Linked DNA regions of Danio rerio. The protein of the gene in region 4 interacts with the protein of the main gene of each other region in a pairwise test. Links are inferred from orthologs where the notes say so. Each region holds a gene or a part of one and is shown on either strand. Other genes may lie near its edges. The genes, in order: pygma, eif2b1, apip, ntaq1, blmh, actb1 and necab2.

Region 1 (3,500 bases), on a different chromosome or scaffold from region 4:
TGCCAATGGTCAGAGCTCCGTTCAGCATGAACTTCATGTTGCCTGTTCCAGAAGCTTCTGTGCCGGCTGTGGAGATCTGCTCGGACAGGTCGGCCGCGGGGATCGCTGAGAGAAAAAGACAACGATAGGGATATTTTTCACAATCGCATGACTCGTATTATATAAGGTAGGCTAAAGCACATTCATACCATGTTATAATCATAAGTAGAGCTGCAAAATATATTGTTTCAGCATCGATATTGCAATGTGCGAGGCTGCAATAGTCACAACGCAGGGATCTGCAATGTAGTTGGGATTATAGTTGACCAGACACTACAGTGAACAACACAAGACCCTTTCACACATACATCCCTTTCTAGAAAATTACCAGCAACAAACAAAGGGAACCTGTGTGAACAGGCCTTTTTTTTAAATACTGATAAATTTGTTCCATCAGTTTTCCTAAAAGAGAACTTGTAACATTACCGGTAATTTGCTGAATGCTGCTCTGTGTGAACGCAGAAGGAAAATTGCCAGAAAAGATGTCTACTCCAGTCAATCAGAACATTCAGACGCATTCACATCCGCACGGTTTATGAAAAATAAAAACCTTTAAATATTTTTTTCAGACACATTTAACTGCTAGATGTTAGTCAGATAAAGTTTCTATCTTCCTTCTTAATCTTACCTGTGTAAAAATCATTGATAAAATCCTTATGATAAACCTCTGTTTGTTTTCTTTCAAGCTCTGCTTCAGTTGCTTGACGCGTGTGCACGTGAAGAAGCCGGTGAGTGCCAGCACACACACATTATGTACATCTAAACATGCGAAAGTGTTCCTTTATATGTTTAATCGAAGTTGTTCATAATACTTATCTATCCACAAAATTTGTAATGTCGTCAACTGTGTAAACGTTTAGCTGCTGTTTGCGCCTCTGCCTTTTGGATGTCTCTGGGACAAAGCAACTGCATGAATGCTAAAGCTTGAAATCAAAGTAAAACCATCAACAAAAGCCCAACCCCTTCTATGTTGACAAATACCAATTTTTAAAAAAAATTACTGGTATTTTGAAATAGATGTGTGAATGGTATTTTCTGGAAAAAATTCCGGAACGTTCTTGCCTTTGTGAACGGGGCTTTTTTGAATCTACCAGTAAAGTCGTTCCAGAAATTATCTGGATATTTCCCGTTATGACTGTGTGAAAGGTGAAGCAGTGGAGTAATTTCTAAAAAATTTTAGGGACCCCCTCGAAAATTAGATGATTCATCTCAACGGGCTATCCCATTCAATAAATTCAAAAATTCAAAAAATTTAAACACTAAGTTTATGATTTGCATGAGTATTTAAGACCTCATTGAATTTGAAGCAAATTTAAGCCATTAAATTTGGCTTAAATTAATGAATTATTAATTAATCATTAAGGCACAATAAATGAAATGTTTATAGCTTAAAGATGAATTGTATATTATGTCATTATTTACTAAAAATAATAGTGTTGTTATTATCATAATTATACAGTGTTTTTTTATTTTTTATTTCTGCTTCTAAATACTGTTTGACTAAATACTGTTTGACTGTTTGAAAAAAAAATCATAAATCATTGTATATTAGCATCTTTTCTCTGTTGTATTTAACTTTGCTTATCATTTTTAAAATTATATTTTATGCAGATATGCTCCACTACAGTTCATCCCAATTAATTATGAATTGTTTAAAAGCTATTCAAGTCATCTGCTGAAATTACATTTATATAGCTATATATATATATATATATATAGTCGCAGTGAAAGAAAATATTGTAACGTCAGTTTTTTTCCAATATTGTGCAGCCCTAATTATAAGATATGGTAACACTTACAGCTTAATGCACTAATGAACTTCTAGCTACTGCCTATTGTTTAGATATTGTCTCTTTATTAGTAGTTATATCCATAATCTTACCCAATACTTAAGCTCAACAACTACCTTACTATTAATAAGTCACTAATTAAGGTTTATTGAGCTGATAGCCTTAGATAATGGTTTGTAAACAGCATGAATTGCACATTACAATAAAGTGTTACCTGAGATTATAGCTTCCCTTTAAACTGGGAATTGTGTTTAGGCACTGATAGTGTTTGCCGTAGAAAAGCATAGCTGTGAAAATCACTGCAAATATTAAATTATAAGGTATTTCCATCTCAATCAAATGGCAATCACACATTGCATTGACACAGAGTTATATGTGGGTAAAATGTTAGATATACAGTATATGCTGTCTGGAAGCATACAGCTTTTATTTTCTGGTTAATATTATAGTTATCATTAATTGTAAGATTAGTTCTGTAGCAAATAGGGTTAGTCAAAGAAAAAATCATAAAAACAAAATATTTTTAGTAAGTTGTCACAACAACACTTCTCATTTTCTTTAGGTTTAAGCTAACAAACTAAAATATCAGTTTTTAATAACAATATATGCAAGATAAAAAAATAATAATTCAAATAAAATATTTAAATGTAAGAGACTTCAAATATTATAATCGATCACCTTTCTCAGCAAGGGTGACTCTGTAGTTCTCCAAGAAAATGACTTTGAGTCGATCGCCCACCACAGGGTCATTGTTGACCACCTCACCGATAGCTGTGATGAGGCGAATGATCATTTTAGCTGTGTGGTATCCTGGCGCAGCCTGGGAAGAAGAATAGAATTATCAGACAATTCACAGTTCACTAAGGAGTTAAAGATCTGAATGCTGATCTGACTGCATTTAAATCACCTTTCCTCCAATCATAATTGTTCTTGGTGTCCACTGCTTATTAGGCTCTTTCTTGATGCCTGTAAAATTGAATTTACACAAATAGTCACAACATGTCTTTCTAAATGTTTAACAGTTTTATTTACTGACGTGTTTTGGACCATTATACCTTAATACAATAATTTATGCATTCCTTTATTTATTCAGTATTTGTTTTGAATTTAACTATTATTTGAAAGAAAATACGGTTAATCACAATAGTAATATTAGGACAAATATTATTTACAAAATATTTTTATATATTTACTCTTCTAAAAATATATATAATTTCATTTAAATAATAATAAAGTATATATATATATATATATATATATATATATATATATATATATATATATATATATATATATATACACACACACACACACACACACACATATATATATATATATATATATATATATATACACAGTCACACACACAACAGTTCTGCTTGGTTCTCGATTCTGATTGACTGATAGCCATGTGATATTCTGCAATAACAGCACTAGTATAGTCTCTTCACTCTTGGGGTGTATTACTCCGCCCACCTGAACAAATCATTATAGAACAGGTAAGTCGATCTCTCTTTTGCATTTTGTAGTGCTGTGTTTATACTATCGTAATTTGGTAGTGTTTTGCTTTGGCTTTTTCTGGGTTATTTATTGTGTTATTGCAATTGCAGCAGAGAAATATTGGGAAATCTCTGTAGACTGATGGCTGTGTAGTCTAAAATGTGAGCAAAA
Region 2 (4,090 bases), on a different chromosome or scaffold from region 4:
TAAAGTATCGATTCACATTAGTTCCCATCCACATCAAGCATCGGTTCACACTAGTTCACATCATTTCACATTCACATCAAGAATCTGTTCACATCTATATCAATTATATCTTCACATTAGTTTATATCCACATCAAGCATCAGTTCACACCCACATCAGGAGTCGGTTCACATGCACATCAAGCATCGGTTTACAATCACATCTATGTCAAGTATTAGTTCACATTAGTTCACATCTAAATCAAGCATCAGTTCACAGTAGTTCACATCAAGCATAGGCTCACACCCACATTGATCCACATCTATATTATCCAGTTTCAGTTCACATTAGTTCACATCCACATCAAGCATGGGTTCACACTAGTTCACATCCAAATCAAGCATCGATTCACATTAGTTCCCATCCACATCAAGCATCGGTTCACACTAGTTCACATCCAAATCAAGCATCGGTTCACATTAGTTCCCATCTACATCAAGCATCAGTTCACATTAGTTCACATCCAAATCAAGCATCGATTCACATTAGTTCCCATCCACATCAAGCATCGGTTCACACTAGTTCACATCCAAATCAAGCATCGGTTCACACTAGTTCACATCCAAATCAAGCATCGGTTCACATTAGTTCCCATCTACATCAAGCATCAGTTCGCACTAGTTCACATTTAAATCAAGAAACGGTTCACATTAGTTCACATAATTTCACAACCTTATCAAGCATCAGTTCCCATCTACATAAAGTATCGATTCACATTAGTTCCCATCCACATCAAGCATCGGTTCACACTAGTTCACATCCAAATCAAGCATAGGTTCAAACTAGTTCACATCATTTCACATTCACATCAAGAATCTGTTCACATCTATATCAATTATATCTTCACATTAGTTTATATCCACATCAAGCATCAGTTCACACCCACATCAGGAGTCGGTTCACATGCACATCAAGCATCGGTTTACAATCACATCTATGTCAAGTATTAGTTCACATTTGTTCACATCTAAATCAAGCATCGGTTCACACCCACATTGATCCACATCTATATTATCCAGTTTCAGTTCACATTAGTTCACATCCACATCAAGCATGGGTTCATATCTATATCAGGTATCGGTTCACACCCTCATGAGTTCACTTCTATATCAAGTATCAATTCTCATTAGTTCACATCCACATCAACCATCGGTTCACATCAGTTGACTTCCACATCAAGAACCAGTTCACATTCAAATTAAGTATCAGTTCACATTAGTTCACATCCACATCAACCATCGCTTCACATCAGTTGACATCCACAACAAGAACCAGTTCACATTAGTTCACATCCATATCAAGTATCGGTTCACATTAGTTCATATCCAAATAAAGCATCAATTCACATCAGTTGACATCCACATCAAGCATCGGTTCACATCTATTTCAAGCATCAGTTCACATCCACATCCCAAGCCGAAAATCAAACAGCACAAACTCACTCTGATCCCTCTTCAGGAACTCAAGCAGTGATCGAATCGCAGCCACCGCTGAAGCCACATCTGGATCTTCCCTGATCTGCCCACGGAAATACTCCACCAGTTCTGGAAGAGAGAAATACATATTCAAATAAATTACTGACTTCCACTGTTGAATTGTTTTAATTCCCAATCTGAAAATATCAGGGTATAAATGTAAACGTTTTGCATTTTTGTCTTTGTAATTCTGTACCTTCGCTGTTGAATTGTTTGGTGAAAGTAAGCTGTGTTGGGTAAGAAAAGTACTTAACTTCAAATTACCTAACTGAAATTGTATTTAAACTTCTGCTGGATAACAATACAGTATAAAACTAAACTCATATAAAGTGTAAAATATATTTTAGATAATTATGTTTATAATTATGTTTATAGTCTTTAGTACTAGCCGATGAATTAATTAATAATAAACTGAACCTTTTGGTAAAATGTTAGACTTACAGTATAGTATAGTAAAGCTATTCATAATTTTGACCACAAATAACTACAATTACCAACAATTTAACAACATTGAAACATTTAACAACATTTAACAATTACTCAGACATTAAATAGCGAGTGAACAAAAAAGTCAAACCCTAAAATTAATAAAGAACAGCTTTTATAACACACACTATGAGCAGCTATAATCATCTGTGTAAACATCATGACTCTTGCACCTTTAAATAATTAAATAAATGAAATATTATTAATCTCCTGATCAACAAAGTCTTTAGATGTTCCCATAATGCATTAGCTATACATATATACACGTGGAATCACGAAATGTTCTCAATTATTATTGATATTATGTGTGTCAATCAAACAGGTCGAAAACAAGCACAAATGCCTTGCGTTACCAACCAACATATCAACATAATTGATCATAATATAATTCAAAATGTAATATAAGATGCTCAGGAAAGCAAAGCAGCTACGCAAATAACTCAGAATCATCTCTGAATAATTATTAAGTGTGTTCTGTCTTGTGTTGTTGTCAAACTCACCTCTTTCCTCCATTTTAAAAGCACTTTCTCTCTCAGAGATCTGTCAAGTTTTGAGTTTCACGAGCTAATAATGATAGTGTCGCTGATGCAACGATCTGTCATGACGCTCTCTGACATCCAGTACGACGAATTGTTTAAAGTTTGTCTACAAAGTAATGCTTGCTTTACCCATTTATTTCATACGATCCCTTTCAGAAACTGAATAACATCTATTCTTCTAGTGTATTTCAAATGAAAGGCTATTTACAGTGAACAAGTGGACATGCTCACTTTCTTCTTCTTCGTTGTTTTATGTCGAGTGAACAGTCGCTTCATGTAGCGCCGCTGCTGGACAGCAGAAAAACAGCAGGATCATTTGTTTAATTCTCTACTACAGGGTTATTCAAACTGTATAATAACACAATTAAAATAATTATCAATCGAATCGAATATTTTTAAAAATATTATTACGGCATATAAATAAATTAGTACAAAAAAGAACTAAAATTAATTTATATTAATAATTGTTGTGTGTATAAGGAATAAATTTAGTACTTTAATGAGTAGGAAATACATTAATTAACGTAACTTAATAGAACACAATACGGAATGCATAATAATATACTGCTAATGATATATATATATTTTTTCAAAGTAAAATAATAAAATTAAATGTTATAAGTATAGACATATACAAACTGTGAGCTTGTAGAGTTTAATTTCGGTGCCTGAAAAAAAAAGTTTAGTTGTCTCTGCAAGATAAATAAATATAAAATATAATATTGCATATGGAATGCCGGAGGATAGTGAGTAAAATAAAACAAAATAATAATAAAATAAAATAATAATATTAATAATAATATAAAAAAAGAGTGATAAAATAAAATAAAATTAAATAAAATTAAATAAAATTAAATAAAATTAAATTAAAATAATGTAAAATTAAATAAAATAAAACAATAAAATAAGATAAAAAGTAAAAGGAAATAAAATAAAATAATAAAATAAGATAAAAAAGTTAAATAAAATAAAATAAAGTAAAGTAAAAAAAATGAAAAATAAAAAATAATAGTAAAATAAGATAGGATAAGATAAGATTAGTTAAAATAAAAAAATGAATTGAAATGAGATAAATAAAATAAAACAAAAATAAAAAAATTAAAAAAATAAAATCAAAGAAAATAAATCTAAACTAAACTAAATATTGTGATTAGAAGGCCGAAGGATTGTAAATAAAATAAATAAAAATAAAAATAAGAAAACAAAAATAAATAAAACAAAAATAAAATAAAAAATAAATAAAATACAGTAAAAAAAATATAAAAATAAAACAAAAATAAAATAAAACGAAATAAAATAAAGAAGGAAAATTAAAAAATGATATTTTTTTTCCTGCACCAGTACAGCAGGTGGCGCTACACTGAGTTCAATCTCTCCATTAAATAAACAGAAGAAGATTTAAGCATGAGTCCAAACAGCACAACTTTCAACATATTGAAGAAAACAGCAAAGAAATACAGTTTTATATCAATTTAGAGACGCCGGAATTGCAGCAATGGCTTCGGGTTTGTAAATCACACAAACACCATTAATGAAACGTTTAACGGTTTT
Region 3 (2,266 bases), on a different chromosome or scaffold from region 4:
TTAATTAAAATGTTTATCTAAGTAGTCAAGTTAAGGAGTAAAGTAGCTAAGTAGCAAAGTTAAAACATTAGGTATTATATTGTCTTAGAGTGAATTTTAACATGTCTTTAAACATGACATTATTTTGACAAATTTTCATGTACACTGTAAATAACAATACAGACATTATTTTAAATGAATACCAGTTTTTGACATGGTTTTAGATGTCTTGATTCAATTCTAATGCACAGTTTAGTTTTTGAGCTGATTATTGATTGTTTGTCAAGTCTTGACCTGACTATTTGTTTCTTCTTTTAGTGAGCACATTTATATAGCTCCCTCAGGTGTTCAGAAGGAGAGAATACAAGTAAGGTTTTTTATTTAGTCATGTTGTTGTTTCTGTGTAAAATGAAATAATGCTAAAATAAACTATAACTCCCCTGCTGTGTAGCCAGAGGACTTGTTTGTGTGTGACATTGATGAGAAGGACATCAGTTGTCCTCCTCCACAGAAGAAGCTGAAGAAGAGCCAGTGCACGCCACTCTTCATGAACGCCTACACTATGAGAGGTACATGTCAACACAGAATGTACTGTTTTTAGTCTGTACCGTGTTACATCGTCTTGTCTTTTTCACAGGTGCTCAGGCAGTTATTCACACGCACTCAAAGTCTGCTGTAATGGCAACTCTCCTGTTTCCTGGAAAGGAATTCCGTATCACACACCAAGAGATGATTAAGGGGATTCGGAAAGGAAACTCAGGCACAAACTTCAGGTTGTGGTTCCTGTTATGATGCTTTATGAACACGATTTTAAATTTGAGATGTAAAATGAAGCAAATGAAAGCATATACATACATGATACCTCTTTGAAATCTTTAAGATCTCATTTTTATATCAATATTTTACAACTTACCTTGATTTAAAATAATATATATTGTGTATATAAATTATATTACTCAGCACCAAAGCCAAATCTCTTTTAATCTAATTAATATAATAATCATTTACTGACTTTCAACATATATAACATATATGTTCTGACAGCTGCAGATGTGAATGAATGGTGGAAGAAAGTAGTTTCCTTGTACAAAAGGGATTTTGTGACTCGCTGTGTTTGATATTCTCTTCTATATACACGATTATGTCATCAAACTGTTGTATAAATGCAAAATTACACTCATAGCAGTGCAATATGGCTGTATATTGAATGTATATTTGGATGACTTGAACATAGTTTAAATTCTGTAAATATCTAAATATTAGCAATATTAACTCTTTAACGATAAAAAAGGTGACAACATTCCATTAATTGTGTTTTATAAATGGTTGGAAAAAGAAACTGAAAGTAAAATGTGTCAGCGCCTAATATCCTTCTCTTCTTCTATTGTGTTGTGTTTTTACCCAGGTATGACGACACTCTAGTTGTTCCAATAATTGAAAACACCCCAGAGGAGAAAGACTTGAAGGAGCGGATGGCCCGAGCCATGGACATGTACCCCGACTCCTGCGCTGTCCTCGTCCGCAGACATGGCGTCTACGTCTGGGGAGAGACTTGGGAGAAAGCAAAGACAATGTGAGCTGGGGAATTCAATGCACAACTTTGTTTGTATTTTGTAGAAACATACATTATTGATCTTTTACATCACTATTGTTTTCCAGGTGTGAATGTTATGACTACTTGTTTGACATTGCTGTGCAGATGAAACAGAGTGGTCTGGATCCTTCTGCTTTTCCAACTGAAGAAAAAGGCATTGTTTGAGTCTGCATAATAAAAAACTATAACTGTGTGTGTGCGCATGTGTGTGTTTATAGCGATTGCTCAAATATGCAACTCACAATTTTGTGTTTGTCATTTAAACGGCACCTATTTTATCCTTTTTTCAAGATCTAAGATAAATCTTTTGTGTCTCCAGAAGTTTCAGCTCAAAACACCCATCATATTACTGATTATAGCTTTAGAAATACTGGAATTTTCAGCTCTGAACACAATGTAGCTGTTTTTGTTGCCTGTGCATTTAATGTGAATTCTCTCTGCCCACCGTTCCCACACGCCTCTCAGTGTGCCTAAAACTCCGCCTCAGCCACATCAGATAAACAGCACAGTGACAGACATGAAGGAAGCAGATCTCAGATTTAACGGTTGTGAGAAATACTACTGTAAGAAATTTACCAATGATTATTTGATGTATTTGTTGTGGAGTTGCAACGATGAGTCACACAAGGTTACACATGCGCACACATATAGCGGACACACACACTGTGTGTTTAACTTTGCACTGCTTTTGCA
Region 4 (3,994 bases):
CTACAGCACTACAACTGCTTACACAGTTTCGCATTTCGGTTTGGTTGTTTGTTTAAATTCTGCATTTTTATTATCTGTACATCTGTGTAACTGATTTCTTTATAAAAATAATACACATCCTCGACAAATGACAACAATGGCTTTCTTTTCTGTGACCTTTCTACCTGACTATAATTAAGCCACATTGCCAACTGTTCAATTAGTAAAAATAATTTCAGAGTCAATAAATGTGTCTTTTGAGGCCTGCTTAGTTGCAGCATTCTCCATCATAATAGGATCTTTCCCTGAGGCTCTGTTTATGTACATTTTTCAACAACAACAACAAAAAATGTGCTGGAAAAAAAGCATTACTTTACTCCAAAGTGTTTAACAAAGTCTGAAAGGCTGTAAACCTCTCCATATCCCACTCGGGGATCCATGCAGATGAAGTCATCAAGATTCATTTTGGATTCTGAAAAGGACACGTTATACATGAAAGTGGAAGAAGAAATCAAATTATAGTATTTACTGTATATAAATCTGCAATAGAAAACAAACCTGGTGTCTCTAAACATGGATATGCTGGAGGTGGCATACGCCAATTCCCATCGGAGTCCTTCATATGAGACCGATCAGAAGCAAACTCCTTCAAATAAGTGTCCCCGGGTATGACTCGAAGTTTCCTAAAAGAGCAAACAACACTTTGATTACATTCAACTAAGACTGGCTATTATTATTATAAGGGTCAAAGACATAAAGGAGTTTAAGCATTTGTTAAAAAATATATATATAAAAATAATATTATTTAATGCAAAAGTAAATTAATTGACTATTGTCCATCACCACAATTTACATAAGATGACCTCTAAAATGTAGTTAAGTGTAACAGTAGTTTAAAATACTAAGTTATATTTAAAACAAGAATAATGTGAGGCCATACTAAATGGATAACAATGCAGCCTCAAAATACTAATTCATATTAAAATCTTCATTCAATTTTGTCCTCACATTTTATGATGTGCTTTTCTTTTATAAATTTATTAAGTACTTGTTACACTTATGTTATTTCATCTTTTGTAGAATGCAGATTAGACCAGATAATACTTGCCTCCAGTAAGCAGGTTTCAAATGCTTGTCAGACTGAAAGGCCTCCATTGAATAAACGTCAAGCGAACAAGGAAATGGAAGAATGGTGTCTAAATCGTAAATGAAGCTCGGTCCTTGTTTACTTGCGTGTAGAAGAATAACATGGTAATCCTAAATGGAAAACAACATTTTTATATCAATTAGAGACTACCATAAAATATGCATAGTTTTTATACATATAAAGTTCCTACCCAAATTACTGGTTCATCCCCTCGACTGGACTTTTGTTTCCAAATAGGTATCTGAAATATTACACAATTTTTAACACACATACATACTATATATACACTCATTGGCCCCTTTTGTTTGGCACACCTTACTAGTACCGGGTTGGACCCTCTTTTGTCTTTAGAACTGCCTTAATCCTTTGTGGCATAGATTCAACAAGGTACTGGAAATATTCCTCAAGAGATTTTGGTTCATATTCACATGATAGCATTACACAGTTGCTGTGGATTTGTTGGCTGCACATCCGTGATGCGATTCTCTCATTCCACCACATCCCAAAGGTGCTCTACTGAATTGAGAGCCGGTGACTGTGGAAGTCATTTGATTACAGAACTTCATGTCATGTTTTACAAACCAGTCTGAGATGATTTGCGTTTTATGACATGGTGCGTTATCCTGCTGGAAGTAGCCATCAGAAGATGGGTACACTGGTCATAAAGGCATGGACATGGCCAGCAACAATACTCAGGTAGGCTGTGGCGTTGACACAATGCTTAATTGGTACTAATGGGCCCAATGTGTGCCAAGAAAATACCCCCCATGCCATTACACTACCACCACCTGAACCGTTGATACAAGGCAGGATGGATTCATGCTTTCATGTTGCTGACGCTAAATTCTTACCCTACCATCCGAATGTTGCAGCAGAAATTGAGACTTATCAGACCAGACAACGCTTTTCCAATCTTCTATTGTTCAATTTTGGTGAGCCAGTGTGAAATGTAGCCTCAGTTTCCTGGTCTTTGCTGACAAGAGTGGCACCCATGTGGTCTTCTGCTGCTGTAGCCCATCTCCTCAAGGTTCGAGGTTCAAAGTTACTGGAATCACCTTTCTTTCCCATTCTTATGCTTGGTTTGAACTGCAGCTGATCGTCTTGACCATGTCTACATGCCTAAATGCATTGAGTTGCTGCCATGTGATTGGCTTATTTTTGCGTTGAGCAGCAGTTGGAAAGCTGTACCTAATAAAGTGACCGGTGACTGTATACGTGTGTGTGTGTGTGTGTGTGTGTGTATATATGTATATATATATATATATATATATATATATATACATATATATATATATATATATATATATATGTATGTGTGTGTGTGTGTGTGTGTGTGTGTGTGTGTATGTATGTATATAACAGAAAACTGTACATTTCATTAAATGTAAAATACTTGTGTGGAGATGAAGCTCACCTTCTTTCTTTCATTAGATATAAATACTGCATACACCTCTTCCAAAGGACAATGTCTCTGATTCTTGATATATTCACACAATTTCCACACATTCTCCTCACTGCAACAAACATTTAAATACGTGTATGAATACGGTACGTTTTAAATTTGAAATAATGTTACAGGTATTATCGCATTTACCAGTAACAGCTGGTGTAAACACATTGGTTTCCGGACGGGGTGATCACTTTATATTCAGACGAAGCGCTTTCTTCATTCATTCTTTCCTTCCTTATATACGTGTATATACAGTAGGTTTACGCGGACTTCCAGTTATAACGACATGACAAAAGAATACATGTGTATAATGATACCATAGATATTTACATTAATATTACAATGAAGCGATTCGCGTTGCAACCGCACTGTTGCTTGTTACAATGTATCTTGTCCGTAAGGAACTTCAGGGGATTTGTCGTTCCGGCGAGACAGGTGATGCGCGAACATTCACTCCTTATGTGAATTGCAAATGTAGCACTTGCACGATTATCAGCATAAATATTAAACAGTCTAACTTTCATAAAGCATAAGTAGAAAACACGTTAGCGAAAGATAACGTGCAGTTAGGCATCGTTCTCAACTCAATACAATTAGCCAATGTATTGGTTTCTAATTTCAGAGTATCTGATTGTATTTTGTTGCACGTTAATTCGTTTTTTGCCACATACTTGTATAAATGTTTGTGGATATCTATAAATTTTTTTTGTGAACTATATTTTGTTTTAAACTGAAAATGTGTTTCTGTTTCTAATGCATGTTTATCTCAAACCCTTTCATTTCTCTATACATGTTCACTCATTATAGAGTCCTGACAATATGTTTCAAACTATCAGTCCATTCAAATTGTCTACCAAAACCACAGTATGAGTTAATATTAAGGAGGTTAGCACATAGTCTAAATGAATAACTATGTAGTCTTGTCAAAAGTTGTCTTGGTTCACACTTGCTTTGGTCATAAAAAGCCACAAAATGTTCTAAATATATATGCGTACAAGATGTCTTTTGTAAAATAAGGTAAATATTTTTTTGGATTAAATATATCACATTCTGAGAGATGTATTTATTTACTTGTACAACTGTTTTATTACACTTTTTATTGTTTTCATAGGCTAAATCCCCATTTCTGAGCCACAAATAAACAGCTCTTTACACTTTTACCGTTTAAGAATCCACTATTTGCTAACGTGTTTGTTTAAAATGAAATTTGATAACATTCAAATACTTATGATGTTATAAAGTAAGCTAAACCAACAAATATTAACCATATTCTTTTAACAAGATGTATAGGGCCACCTATGTTTTGAGGTGTAGCCATCAGAAAAAGCCCACCATTAACACCTCGTTTTTAGGAATGTCTTTTACTAATGATCTCATTAGCACTTGTGGACCCACTGATTTGAGAGCTGGTGAACTGG
Region 5 (3,500 bases), on a different chromosome or scaffold from region 4:
AAACCCAAGGTATCCATAATCCTGGACCAGGCTGTATCCTGAGCTGATGCTGTGGTCGTCATGGAGTGCATGAGACCAGCCGCGTTTCCACTATCGCGCCTAAAGTGAGCGAGCCAAGGCCAGTCGCGTTTCCACTGTCACTTCCGAGTGCTAAACAGGTCAACTGGGGCTTCGGGGCAGAGTGAAAGGAGAGGCGGAGTGCAGACACAGTTTTCCGATCGCACACGAGTACATGCGGCAAATATAAATAAATAAGGGAAAGAAAACATCTAGCCTTATTGGCTGGGGTCTTTTTGCGTATGATCGCCCTTATGTTCCCCTTTTAAATGTAAGGCTGTTGCATAAAATAATAAAGTTTTAATTTATAAGTGACTTTTCTTTGCTGCGTCCTCCTTGATGTTTCAATAACGCATAATAATCTTTAGACCATATTAAAGACACAGCAGACAGTAAAGTTTTTCAAGAGTTTTTGTCAAGTTTAAAAGGTGTGCTTGTGCGCGTTTAGATGCCTGTATGCGTGTGTGAGACCGAGGGAAAGAGCACTCCCTTCACAGCTCTGTTGATGCCGCGCAGCTTTTTTCTTTTTGTTATGAGTCTAGTTTCTAGTTTTTTTTCACCTGCACTATTGTCAAATGGTGACGTTTTTTTTCTGAAAAGAAGCCCTTTTAACTTTTTCCCGAACCTCTCGCTGGCCTGCAGATACCCATACTAGTGGATGCTGCTTACTCATTGGCGGTAGGTAATGGGCTATATGCACACAGACTTTTAATTTTCAGCAGGGCAGCCCTATGGCTTCAAGTAAACTGTCTTTCCATTACAAAACTGTCACGTTTAAAATCAGCGATCTTCGCTGCCTGTTAGATATATGATATGATATAAGTGGGTCTCAGATCGGACAGGAAGCCCTGCATTTAATTCCAGTTCCCCCACCATGTCTTTAAAATATGACCCTTTATTTGACCCCAGTATTTTCAATGGAACTTCTGTTGCTACTGACGGCACTAGCGGTTACAACGCTCTTGTATATCTTTTTACGCTTAAACAACTAAATGAATGCTTGAGTCTATTTAACTGAGGATTTTGTAATTACATTACAACATCAGTGCTTTAAAAACAACCTTGTGAAATTGGAAATAGTCACATTAGGCTTTCATCGGAAGTTTATCGTTGGTTTTAAACTCTAGCCGTGCTTAGAGCTTATCAGCGATGTTATTTTCAATCAGTACACATTTTACATGGCATGATTCTGAATCACCAACAGCTCCAGGTATTTAGCATCCCAAATATCTCACGGATATCAGCGAATTATTGGTGATTCTCTCAGATCGTGACTTTAATAGTTCACACTTTGTTACTCACGTGAACAGGCTCTGATTTGCCTGTGATTTCAATCAGTTGTCTGCGATTTCTCAAAAACCTGTTGGCGAGTCAAAATCATGCAGTCTGAACTTAAAGCTGCATCAGAAAATTTCTCTACTATATAATAGGTGAAAAGGTATGTGAAGAAAGTAGCACATCTATTCATAAAACGCAAGATCCCTGGATAACATACCATTTCCGGCGAGATTCTGGTGTACCCAGTGGACTCTTCACTTGAGTATTTAAAGAATGCCACGGACTCCGTTAGGGGACGTTATTACAACCTGTTGGAAACCAGCATGCAAACGCAGCACTGAAATGACTCCACACTCAGACTCCTGTGATAATAAAAAAAGAGGCAAAAAAACTTTATTCTTTTTTTTTTCTAGACCAGGCTTGTTGTGAGAGATGGTGGGAGGGGGTTAAAACCAGCTGAAGGTGGAGTTGAGGAGATCAGACTGGCTCCTGTGGTTACGCCAGGGCTCCCATGGGGTCCCAGGCCGGGAGGACGACGGGGTCCTTCTGCATGACGTCCAGCACTTCAGGAGAGAGAAAACTCTTATCCACCACCACCTCGTACACGTACTCGGAGAACCACTCGTCTGTCATGATCAGATATCCTGCAGGAAGAGATGAGGCAAGGACAGCAGACAGAGATAAATGGCTAAAATGAAAGATGAGCAGAAGAAAGATAGCAAGACGGAGGAGTGGAACGCTGTTTAATTTGCTGCAGCAGAAGCTCTTGGACGAACGTCAGATCGCAATGCACTGTAGGACATCAGCCTACTGATTACTCATATATTCAGGAAAACAAAGATGGCACTGTTGAGAAAAAAATCACATTATATACCCTTTTCACAAGACGACGAGGACATGTTTCAATGGTCATCTGCATCTTAAATCCTTAAAGGTTTCAATAAGCTGAATTTTTTTAATACGCATGTACATTTAATAAGCTATACTTCATCATGCTATACAAAACTGTTAACGCTTTCGGCAAGGTGTTTCTAATGCTGCGTTTATGGACAGTACAGTAAAATTTGACATTAGCTATATTTCCATCCATGCAAATGCAAATTAAATGTATGCGCAAAACTGGAATATCGCATGAAAAGCGAATGCACTTAAAGCAACGTTGCTATTCAATGAGTCGGAGAATAAAATATTCACTTTCTGATAAAATGGCGTCAAAAAAGTAAAAACAAAATTAGTAGCTCAAATATATATGTTAAGGTACAAATATTAAATAAAAAATTCAAGAGCAAAATTCAAGAGAAACCAAAACTGTATTTTTCCCAATATTTTGCATAAATTTAAATGCTTTATGGTTCTATGTCGTTTGGTGACTAAAATATTATTTTAATAAATATATCCGTTTAACAAATCAGTTTTGTTTTCAAAAATATGACCTATATTCACTGAGAAATGGATAAAAATGTTCATTTTTTATAATGTGGTATACTCAGTTATGCTGCACATTGCATGTTAAGGCTAAATAGTTTGATTGTTTCCTATACCAGCAACATTTGAACCATTAAACAATTATAAATGTTTGCTAAAGTGTTGTTAACCTGTCAAGCTATCTTCGTTCGTGTTAAATATAAATGCCTTACAGATTGCTTTTACAAAAAGAATGAGTGGAATGAGTGGAAAACTGGAATATTGTATAAAAGCTGTGCGAATAATGTAGCGTTTTCATTCAACGAGTCAAAGAGAACATAATCGTCACATCCTGATAAACTGGTGCAAAAATCAAAAGTTAAACCGGAATTTGCCGTGTAGGAGAAGCTGCATCAATCTTTTCCTTATTTAATAAATGACTTATGCCTCAGAAGACAATGCAGACACGCAATGAACGCATGGTGGCCTTTAAAGGCATGAAACGTGGAGCTCAGATTCTCTTGACAGTTCTGGAGTTCATTAATATAATAACACTGATACCGAAAAGATTAAGGTGTTTTAGAATGACCAAAACAACATTTCAGGTGTTTTACAGTGTGCTCAGCCTGCTGGTTTGTCCATTCACACACACTTTTATCATCACATGACCTCTTGTAACAAAATCATATGACTTTTCTTTTCAACGCGCTTACCGGAATTTGTTCAGTAAAAGTGTTTCCATCGTAGTTTATGAGCATCTT
Region 6 (4,134 bases), on a different chromosome or scaffold from region 4:
CCTTTCTAGTATTTTTTTTTCCTTGAAGCCATTAGCCTAGCCTATCAGTGTCACATTACTTTATCGAATGTAAACTAAACAGTCTGTGCTTCAAAACATTCACGACATATAGTGTTATTCAATAGTTTATATTATCAGTCTTTTTAAGTAACAGGGTATGTAGGCTGATTTTTTTTGTGCACTCTTCAGATTCCAGTAATGCAGCAGCGTGAAGCGTCATCGGTTTATGACGTAATTACGCAAAAGCCGGCTTGACAGGAAGTGTTGTTTTCTATGGAGCACCGTGCCCTTGTTTTGTATCCCCTGCTTTGCAGATAACCAGATAAAATGAAATATGCTTAATACGGTTGCATCTAACATGCCGAGCGGCGATGTAACAGACGCCGATCTGAGCAACAACAAAACAATAGTCAATATTTCATTAATTTCCGAATGACTCCTGATCTTCTGCAGCTTTACATCCATGATATTATAAACAGCAAAGCATTATGCACAAAAGCAACCTACGATTGAATTAAACAGTGCAATGTTCACAAATAAAGCCTTTTTTAAATATGCTTTTACATTATGTTTTATAGAGTCACGAGAAGTACCTGTACTTTAAATGGGAGCCACGCCCACGTTGTTCATCAAACTAACCTAATAAAATGACACACTTAAAATGTCTTCTCAAGAATTAATCGTAAATGAGTCGTTTTCAACTAGCTGTCAAACATTAACTGAAATGTAAAGCAGATTAGTGTATAACGTTAATCAAATAATGATTTCTTCTCTGTTCTACCAATAATGGCTCTTGTATAACGTTAGTTTACACATTGTTGTCATTTATAGAGCTGAAACATACAGTAAAATACAATATAAGTTTAAATACTATTGGACAATGTCGTACTGCTATGTTTAAACGTCCTGTCATTCCTGCAGCCTAAGTACAGCTTATATAAATGCAACTTTACATCATGCATTGCTCGTTTTTCACAGAAATAATAAACTATTTAACGTTACTCGCTGTATGTGAGGTTATTTAAAAGTAACGTTAAGCCACAGACATGAAGTCTAGCATCCTTTACTGATTTAACTGTGTTCCAATCCAAATGATATACATATCCTTAATTCAAGTGTTACATCTGCCAATGCTGTGTCAAATCAACTTATCGTGTATTTCCTTATCAAATTATTTCGCCTTTTCGCCGATCCCTGACATACATTATTTCAACCCAGAACTTGAATTTCAAGCAACTAGCTTGAAACTCGCCAAGTGGACGACGGCTGGCCAATCAGACCGCTCGCTGCCGAAAGTTTACCTTATATGGAAGGAGCCGGCCGCAGTGCCGGCTATAAAGCTGTGACCCACCTCACGCTCAGCATTGTGAGTTTTCAGTGCACGCTGAGAAGATCTTCACTCCCCTTGTTCACAATAACCTACTAATACACAGGTGAGAATGCTTTTATATTAATATTTACTGGTATTTGGAATAATTTAGTAATGCTTATGATGATTATTGGAGATTTATTTATTAAAGCTATATTTCATTTTGCTTGCTGATCGGATTTGAATTGAAGTCTTGGTCCTGTCTGCCTAAATATGTACTTTGCTGTTGATTTTTACAACGCTGAATAAGTTATGCTGATTTTTGTGCTTGTGTTTTATTAATGGTTTTAACCGGTAGCAGTTCCAGCTTTCAAAGCTAACGTTAGAGTAATACAACTGTAAAGCCTTCTACATAAAGCGATTTATTAAATTCATATTTGGTAGTAAATTGATTTTTAATGTAAGGTTTAATTTAAATGTGGATTTATTAATCAACGTTAACGTTAGTATCATCAACGGCAGTGTTCGCAGTTTGAATGGTGGGTGTGGCTACTATAACGCATTAACCGGTATCACTGCCGTTTAATTCGTGTGCACGGTCAAATATATATAAAAGCTTTTAAAGTTTCTTGTTTGTCTGTAACGTTGTTGGGATTTCATAAACTTGTCAGTCACACACGAAGTTAAAGATTATTGCAGCACTTCTAGTTCGTTAAAGTTAAGTTACTCTTTCTGTTGAAATGGCTTCGTTTTATTTCCTTTTCAAAAGACAAGAGCGTGTTTTAGTGAGCACCGGGATTTCACTCGTGGCGTTGTAAAGCGCTTATCTCGGCCTTTGAGACCGGGAGGGAGTGGTCGCGTCCGTTGGTCTGATTCCACGCGCTGAATCGGCGGCATTGAGCTGCTCTAACTTATTGCCATATAAGGCAATAGTGAGGCTGCCTGGCCACTTCCTTTGTCTCAAATCTCTTGGTTTCAACCCTGCGCCTTTGCGCCGCCTACTGGCCAGACGTCACAAATCCATCAGTCATCACCGCCTATAAAAGACACTACCCATTCATATTTTAACAGTTTCGCTTTTTTTCCCTACAGCCATGGATGAGGAAATCGCTGCCCTGGTCGTTGACAACGGCTCCGGTATGTGCAAAGCCGGTTTTGCTGGAGATGATGCCCCTCGTGCTGTTTTCCCCTCCATTGTTGGACGACCCAGACATCAGGTACATTTAATAAACCATCCTAATAACATGTTAATCATATTGAACCACATTAAACTCTCATTTGTGCATTTTACATCTTTTAAAATCGATTTATATTCGTTTTTAGATAATGAAGTTTATTAAAGTGTTAATTCACAGCTTTATTGCCTGTTTTGAGAATCTGCTTGCATAAGTGATTTTTAAACTTGATCTGATTCTCGTTTGTTTCGAAGTTCTTCAGCTTTGAAAGTCAGATCTAATAAAAGTTAATTTAAGCGTTCATTACAATAAATTCAAGTGAATCTGTTTTAAGCTAACCTTCAACGTTTTTAAATTCCTTCAAACAAATTGGTTCCTCTTTGCAGTTCCTCATTTCTCGGTGAGCTGGTGCTTTAATCCCTTTACTTTTTCTTCCTCTAGGGAGTGATGGTTGGCATGGGACAGAAAGACTCCTATGTGGGAGATGAGGCCCAGAGCAAGAGAGGTATCCTGACCCTCAAATACCCCATTGAGCACGGTATTGTGACTAACTGGGATGACATGGAGAAGATCTGGCATCACACCTTCTACAATGAGCTCCGTGTTGCCCCTGAGGAGCACCCTGTGCTGCTCACTGAGGCTCCCCTGAATCCCAAAGCCAACAGAGAGAAGATGACACAGGTGTGTTCCTGTGATCAATTTGATTTTCATATTGCCTTATTTGGCTTTCTTCCCCTCTTTGTTCACTTCCTTTCTGTCCATTTCCTCTTAGGCTCTGTCACTTGCCATGATCTCTTGATAGGAGGTTCAAAAGGTTCATCCCTATTTTTTCATTCCTTTTCCCCCTCTTGCATGGTAGCTTCTAACCTTAACTCTCCACAGTTGAGCGTTTTAGCATGGTGTGTTGGAGGCTTTCTTGCCCTGTTGTGCACCCATACTCACGCAGATTTGAGGCTCTGAGTTTGGTTTTTAACCAATTATCTCTTCTACAGATCATGTTCGAGACCTTCAACACCCCTGCCATGTATGTGGCCATCCAGGCTGTGCTCTCTCTGTACGCTTCTGGTCGTACTACTGGTATTGTGATGGACTCTGGTGATGGTGTGACCCACACCGTGCCCATCTATGAGGGTTACGCTCTTCCCCATGCCATCCTGCGTCTGGATCTGGCTGGTCGTGACCTGACAGACTACCTGATGAAGATCCTGACCGAGCGTGGCTACAGCTTCACCACCACGGCCGAAAGAGAAATTGTCCGTGACATCAAGGAGAAGCTGTGCTACGTGGCCCTGGACTTTGAGCAGGAGATGGGAACCGCTGCCTCCTCTTCCTCCCTGGAGAAGAGCTATGAGCTGCCTGACGGTCAGGTCATCACCATTGGCAATGAGCGTTTCCGTTGCCCCGAGGCTCTCTTCCAGCCTTCCTTCCTGGGTGAGTTCCTTGCCATGCATTTAAACTGATCTCCCTTTCAAAAGTGATCCTTCAACAGTGACTAACGTTTGCTTTTATTGGTGCAGGTATGGAATCTTGCGGTATCCATGAGACCACCTTCAACTCCATCATGAAGTGCGACGTGGACATCCGTAAGGACCTGTATGCCAACACAGTGCTGTCTGGAGGTACCACCATGTACCCTGGCATTGCTGACCG
Region 7 (4,292 bases), on a different chromosome or scaffold from region 4:
ATGTGACCTGGAATTTGTTAAGACTTTTATTTATGTATGTTGATGTACTTCCAACTGAAACTGGATATTAAGTAGGGGGTGAAGTTTTTTTATTGCTCATCATCCCCTTGTAGAAAAGGGGTGTGATTAAAAAAATATCAAACTGACATCAACAGAGAACCGCCACTCCTAATGTGGAAGCAACATGTCAGATTTTGAATGAAGATTAACAAAACTAAACTAAACTAAACTAAACTAAAAATCTGTGAATTAACTTGCAAAATGATTGACTACAGTAATTTTGCAATTATTAGAGTACTAGTAGACTTTCTGCTAGCACTTTATTTTGATACTCCTTCAAAACATTAAATACAAGTAACTTTGCAAGTACAGTACAGGGCAAGTAAAGTTATAGTTTACTATAATTATTGATATTTGTGATTAACATTCAATTTCATCTCATTAGGCCACTTTTTTGTCAAGACTTTCCCTTAAATTTTATCATGCTTTACATTATTTTTAAGACCATCTTTGTGATATTATGTTATGGAATGAACAAACACATTAACATAGTTTACTACTTGTTAAGTATGAAGCTTAAGACATTTTATTTTAAAAAAAAGGTCATGCTATTGTTGAAAATTGCATCTTAAAACCAGAAGTAAATGGGGCGCTAGTTGACTAGAAGATACAAAGTCAACAGAATTTATAAATGGTCTAGTTCTGTTCAGAATCTATTTAGCTGCAAAGTCACATGTACAGTATTTTATTGATGCTGCTTTGCATCTGAAGACTGATTATAATGCTGGAACTGTGTCGCTTGATTTCCCTCTCAGGCATCTTCTGACTGCAGCCTGCAAGGCGTTCCAGCATGTGAAAGTGGATACTCTGTGTCAGCCTGAGGCGGTGTCCACTGTCGCTGTGCCCGGTGTGTTCTTCTGTCTGCTATAGAGGCTGCTGTGGGCATTAGAGCCAAACCAGTCTTTGATGCTGCTTGTTTTGCATGTATTGTGTAGTCTAGAGGAGGGATGTCCTTACATTTCACAGCTATTATGAATTCCTACTTGCCCTGCAGGATTACTCTCATTTTCAGCATGTCTGTCCTCTGACAGTCTCTGCATTTGGAGCTTCTGTATTGCAAACACTCTTGCGCTCATTCCAGCTCTATTACAAAATAGAAATACTGAAAGAAAAAAAAACACTCAAGAGCCTGCATACATTTGAAGTCAGAATTATTAGCCCCACTTTGATTTTTTTCTTTTTCTTTTTTAGATATTTCCCAAATGATGTTTGACAGAGCAAGGAAGTGTTCACAGCATGTCTGATAATATTTTTTCTTCTGGAGAAAGTCTTATTTGTTTTATTTCGGCTAGAATAAAAGTAGTTTTTTTTTTAAGGTCAAAATTATTAGCCCCTTTAAGCAAACATTTTTTGATAGTCTACAAAACAAACCATCATTATACAATAACTTGCCTAATTACCCGAACCTGACTAGTTTACCTAATTAACCTAGTTAAGCCTTTAAATGTCACTTCAAGCTGTATAGAAGTGTCTTGAAAAATATCTAGCCAAATAGTATTTACTATCATGGTGGCAAAGATAAAATAAATCAGTTATTAGAAATTAGTTATTAAAACTATCATGTTTAGAAATGTTGAAAAAAAAATTGTCTCTCCGTTAAACAGAAATTGGGGAAAAAATAAACAGGGAGGCTAATAATTCTGACTTCAACTGTAGTTGTAAAAAGGACATATAAACTTAAATAGGCACACAAATGGTGCTGAGCAGTAATTTGTAATTAAATTGTAGCATATTTGATATTTTATTCTGTCATTTAGACAATGGCAGATAAAAAAATTGTAAGTTACTAATTTTTCCTAATTCTAGATGTCACTTTTTCATTTAAAAATACAAAATATGTTACAATTTGTATGCATTTGGACAGTTATGTACACAATGGCAAACTATTTAGTTGTTTATTGATTTTTACTAATTGTAGATATCTCTTTTTAATTAAAAATACAATAAAATTGGCCTTTTTTATACAGTGAGAAAGTTATGTACACAGTGGCAGGCTATTTTGTCGTTTACGGATTTAATTTTTTTTTCTAGGTGTTACGATGTTACGCTTTGAATAAAAAAAATAGAATAGAAATGCCATAATTTCAGCATTTTAAAAACAAGTTTAGTATAATAGATTACAATAAATATTTTTATACAAGTGCATATGCATTTACATTAAATATGCTTATATTCGTTATTTAAAGTAATAATGTGGAAGTTGTGTAGTTTAGAACTACTGTTATTAAAAACTAAAATTGATATGATCTATAGACCCTTTTCACAAGACTGTTATGATGTGTTTAACAATCATCATAATCTTAAATCCTTGAATCCTTTTAAATATTTAGATTAAAAAAACGTTTATACATTAATATGCATTTATGAATATTTTATATAATCTTTGTGTCAAATTACAAAAAACTCAGTCTCACGCAATTTTTTCTTTTTTTGAAAGTCTTGATAACACCATTGTTGAGTTTTTCTTTTATTATTTCAGCTAATAGGACTATAAAAAATATTATTTGTACTCTCACTGCGCTCTACGTTTACCTAACCATGATGCCTTATGGAAATGTGAAAAGGGTCCATTATTAAAACTTATTAAAATTATTTGTTTACATACTGTTATATATAATTAACACTATAATTATTTATAATGAATTTATTATAAATAGTTGACCTTAAAGTATGTGTGTGTATAAATCTATGTCTGTGTGTCTATGTGCAAGTGGCTGCCTGTGCTGAGTGTGCTTTTAGTAAGTGCATTGATTCTCTTTCAAATGTTTCATTACACGTTCCAGGGCTAACCAAATCTATCTGTATGTCTCTCTGAATGTGAAGCGATCAGAGCAGCCTACAGTTTACAGTGCTTTGCATAACCGCAAAACTATAAGCTTGTCTAGAATGTGTTTACAGAAATTTGTCAACCGCTATACAAAGAATTTTACTGTCTTTCATTACTTTAATAATGACACTGACTCTCTGTCTCTCTCTCTCTCTCTCTCTCTCTCTCTCTCTCTCTCGCTCACTCTTTTACTCTTTCTAGCCGCCTGGTGCAGCCTGAACAGGGACTGAGAAGTGTGCCAGTCTGCGGGTGGGACGTCCCGCTTATTGCCTGAAACCCCTCTCTTCTCTCTATCTTTCTGTCACAGTCTCTGCTTTCTTACCTCCTCTTTCTCTCTGCTCCCCCACTCCGTCTCCTCTTTTGTAATTACTTGTTTACACAGTATCCATTTAATATTGAGCCAAAAGTAGTGTCTCCAGACACAGTTCCCTCTTCACATCCACTGCAACACACAGAAACCCACATCAAAACTCCCACCGCATTCGGGAAGCTCACTTTTGCACCTAAAACATCACCTTACATGAACAGTCTCTACTAACCAAAAGAGGCCGATTAATATTTCATCCCAATTCAAGCACGCATCCGCTGCTTTGCAGACAGTTCCCTGCGGTACAACTTCTGAGAAGACAAAAACTGTGCAGCAAAGTATTTCTAAAGCTGTCCATGGACACTAGCATTTCTGTAAAGGCTGTTTAATACTAGGTATAGGTTGGTCTATTAAGTACTTTGGACTGTATCTTCATGAATTGTTTGTGTAACGCACTGAGCCATGTAGAAGGACTGGTGCTTCTGTCAAAACCGTGAGCATGACCAATACTGCCAGTCAAGGGGCCTACATTTACAACACATCCAAATCAACATCCGCTCCAAAAAGCACAATGTTCCTGAACGAGGAATGAAATGCTTGTATAAATGAGATTCGCTGACGAAGAGAACATCATTTTATGTTGATCACTCTTGAGAGGGAATATATAGATGTGGGACGAGTGCTTAAATTAAAAGAGTGGCATTGACTTAAAGGGATAGTTCATCCAAAAATGTATTTTACACTATTTACTCGTCCTGAGTAGTAGATATTTTGAAGAAAGATACCGTAGATATATACACTAGAAATTGCATATGGACCCTGTGCATGCGTCAATAGTGCCGCCAAATTTGTACAGTGCTCTCAGGACAAAAGTCATTCAACCGCACTAGTCAAGACCAAAGCCAATCTGATGATGCTGGACTTTTGTGCTGCAAACAGGTTTAGTAACGAGCAAAGAAAGAAAACAAAGCATAAAGGCAGAACATTTCATAGATAAGATGTTGTTTTGTATGTTACGAACTTTTGGGCTAAACAAGTCACGTTATTGATGATTATACAGTCACTTACTGCACAGACCATAAGCGCAAAGTAGCACCA

The links.
Region 1: the proteins of ntaq1 (region 4) and pygma interact in binary tests that used the Homo sapiens proteins (3 or more experiments, as listed by UniProt). The two-hybrid records come from large-scale screens. The link is inferred for Danio rerio from reciprocal best matches to the Homo sapiens genes NTAQ1 and PYGM.
Region 2: the proteins of ntaq1 (region 4) and eif2b1 interact in binary tests that used the Homo sapiens proteins (3 or more experiments, as listed by UniProt). The two-hybrid records come from large-scale screens. The link is inferred for Danio rerio from reciprocal best matches to the Homo sapiens genes NTAQ1 and EIF2B1.
Region 3: the proteins of ntaq1 (region 4) and apip interact in binary tests that used the Homo sapiens proteins (3 or more experiments, as listed by UniProt). The two-hybrid records come from large-scale screens. The link is inferred for Danio rerio from reciprocal best matches to the Homo sapiens genes NTAQ1 and APIP.
Region 5: the proteins of ntaq1 (region 4) and blmh interact in binary tests that used the Homo sapiens proteins (3 or more experiments, as listed by UniProt). The two-hybrid records come from large-scale screens. The link is inferred for Danio rerio from reciprocal best matches to the Homo sapiens genes NTAQ1 and BLMH.
Region 6: the proteins of ntaq1 (region 4) and actb1 interact in binary tests that used the Homo sapiens proteins (3 or more experiments, as listed by UniProt). The two-hybrid records come from large-scale screens. The link is inferred for Danio rerio from reciprocal best matches to the Homo sapiens genes NTAQ1 and ACTG1.
Region 7: the proteins of ntaq1 (region 4) and necab2 interact in binary tests that used the Homo sapiens proteins (3 or more experiments, as listed by UniProt). The two-hybrid records come from large-scale screens. The link is inferred for Danio rerio from reciprocal best matches to the Homo sapiens genes NTAQ1 and NECAB2.

The regions. Positions count from the first base shown.
Region 1 is NC_133196.1:31,536,303-31,539,802, reverse strand, and holds part of pygma (glycogen phosphorylase, muscle form), read right to left. Parts: intron 2,796-3,500; coding exon 2,737-2,795; intron 2,650-2,736; coding exon 2,508-2,649; intron 106-2,507; coding exon 1-105. UniProt on the Homo sapiens protein: Allosteric enzyme that catalyzes the rate-limiting step in glycogen catabolism, the phosphorolytic cleavage of glycogen to produce glucose-1-phosphate, and plays a central role in maintaining cellular and organismal glucose homeostasis.
Region 2 is NC_133180.1:75,666,721-75,670,810, forward strand, and holds the start of eif2b1 (translation initiation factor eIF2B subunit alpha), read right to left. Parts: upstream 2,801-4,090; 5' UTR 2,514-2,800; coding exon 2,501-2,513; intron 1,584-2,500; coding exon 1,482-1,583; intron 1-1,481.
Region 3 is NC_133182.1:51,746,701-51,748,966, forward strand, and holds the end of apip (methylthioribulose-1-phosphate dehydratase), read left to right. Parts: intron 1-297; coding exon 298-346; intron 347-430; coding exon 431-548; intron 549-616; coding exon 617-752; intron 753-1,384; coding exon 1,385-1,552; intron 1,553-1,638; coding exon 1,639-1,738; 3' UTR 1,739-1,766; downstream 1,767-2,266. UniProt on the Homo sapiens protein: Catalyzes the dehydration of methylthioribulose-1-phosphate (MTRu-1-P) into 2,3-diketo-5-methylthiopentyl-1-phosphate (DK-MTP-1-P).
Region 4 is NC_133194.1:37,454,723-37,458,716, reverse strand, and holds ntaq1 (protein N-terminal glutamine amidohydrolase), read right to left. Parts: upstream 2,801-3,994; coding exon 2,721-2,800; intron 2,641-2,720; coding exon 2,541-2,640; intron 1,368-2,540; coding exon 1,317-1,367; intron 1,237-1,316; coding exon 1,088-1,236; intron 663-1,087; coding exon 538-662; intron 452-537; coding exon 348-451; 3' UTR 332-347; downstream 1-331. UniProt on the Homo sapiens protein: Mediates the side-chain deamidation of N-terminal glutamine residues to glutamate, an important step in N-end rule pathway of protein degradation.
Region 5 is NC_133190.1:31,140,109-31,143,608, forward strand, and holds part of blmh (bleomycin hydrolase), read right to left. Parts: intron 1,980-3,500; coding exon 1,831-1,979; 3' UTR 1,789-1,830; exon of another isoform or gene 1,701-1,788; intron 1,698-1,700; 3' UTR 1-1,697. UniProt on the Homo sapiens protein: The normal physiological role of BLM hydrolase is unknown, but it catalyzes the inactivation of the antitumor drug BLM (a glycopeptide) by hydrolyzing the carboxamide bond of its B-aminoalaninamide moiety thus protecting normal and malignant cells from BLM toxicity.
Region 6 is NC_133176.1:10,082,029-10,086,162, reverse strand, and holds the start of actb1 (actin, cytoplasmic 1), read left to right. Parts: upstream 1-1,334; 5' UTR 1,335-1,433; intron 1,434-2,401; 5' UTR 2,402-2,403; coding exon 2,404-2,526; intron 2,527-2,925; coding exon 2,926-3,165; intron 3,166-3,476; coding exon 3,477-3,915; intron 3,916-4,001; coding exon 4,002-4,134. UniProt on the Homo sapiens protein: Actins are highly conserved proteins that are involved in various types of cell motility and are ubiquitously expressed in all eukaryotic cells.
Region 7 is NC_133193.1:23,004,290-23,008,581, forward strand, and holds the end of necab2 (N-terminal EF-hand calcium-binding protein 2), read left to right. Parts: intron 1-815; coding exon 816-907; intron 908-3,088; coding exon 3,089-3,117; 3' UTR 3,118-3,792; downstream 3,793-4,292. UniProt on the Homo sapiens protein: May act as a signaling scaffold protein that senses intracellular calcium.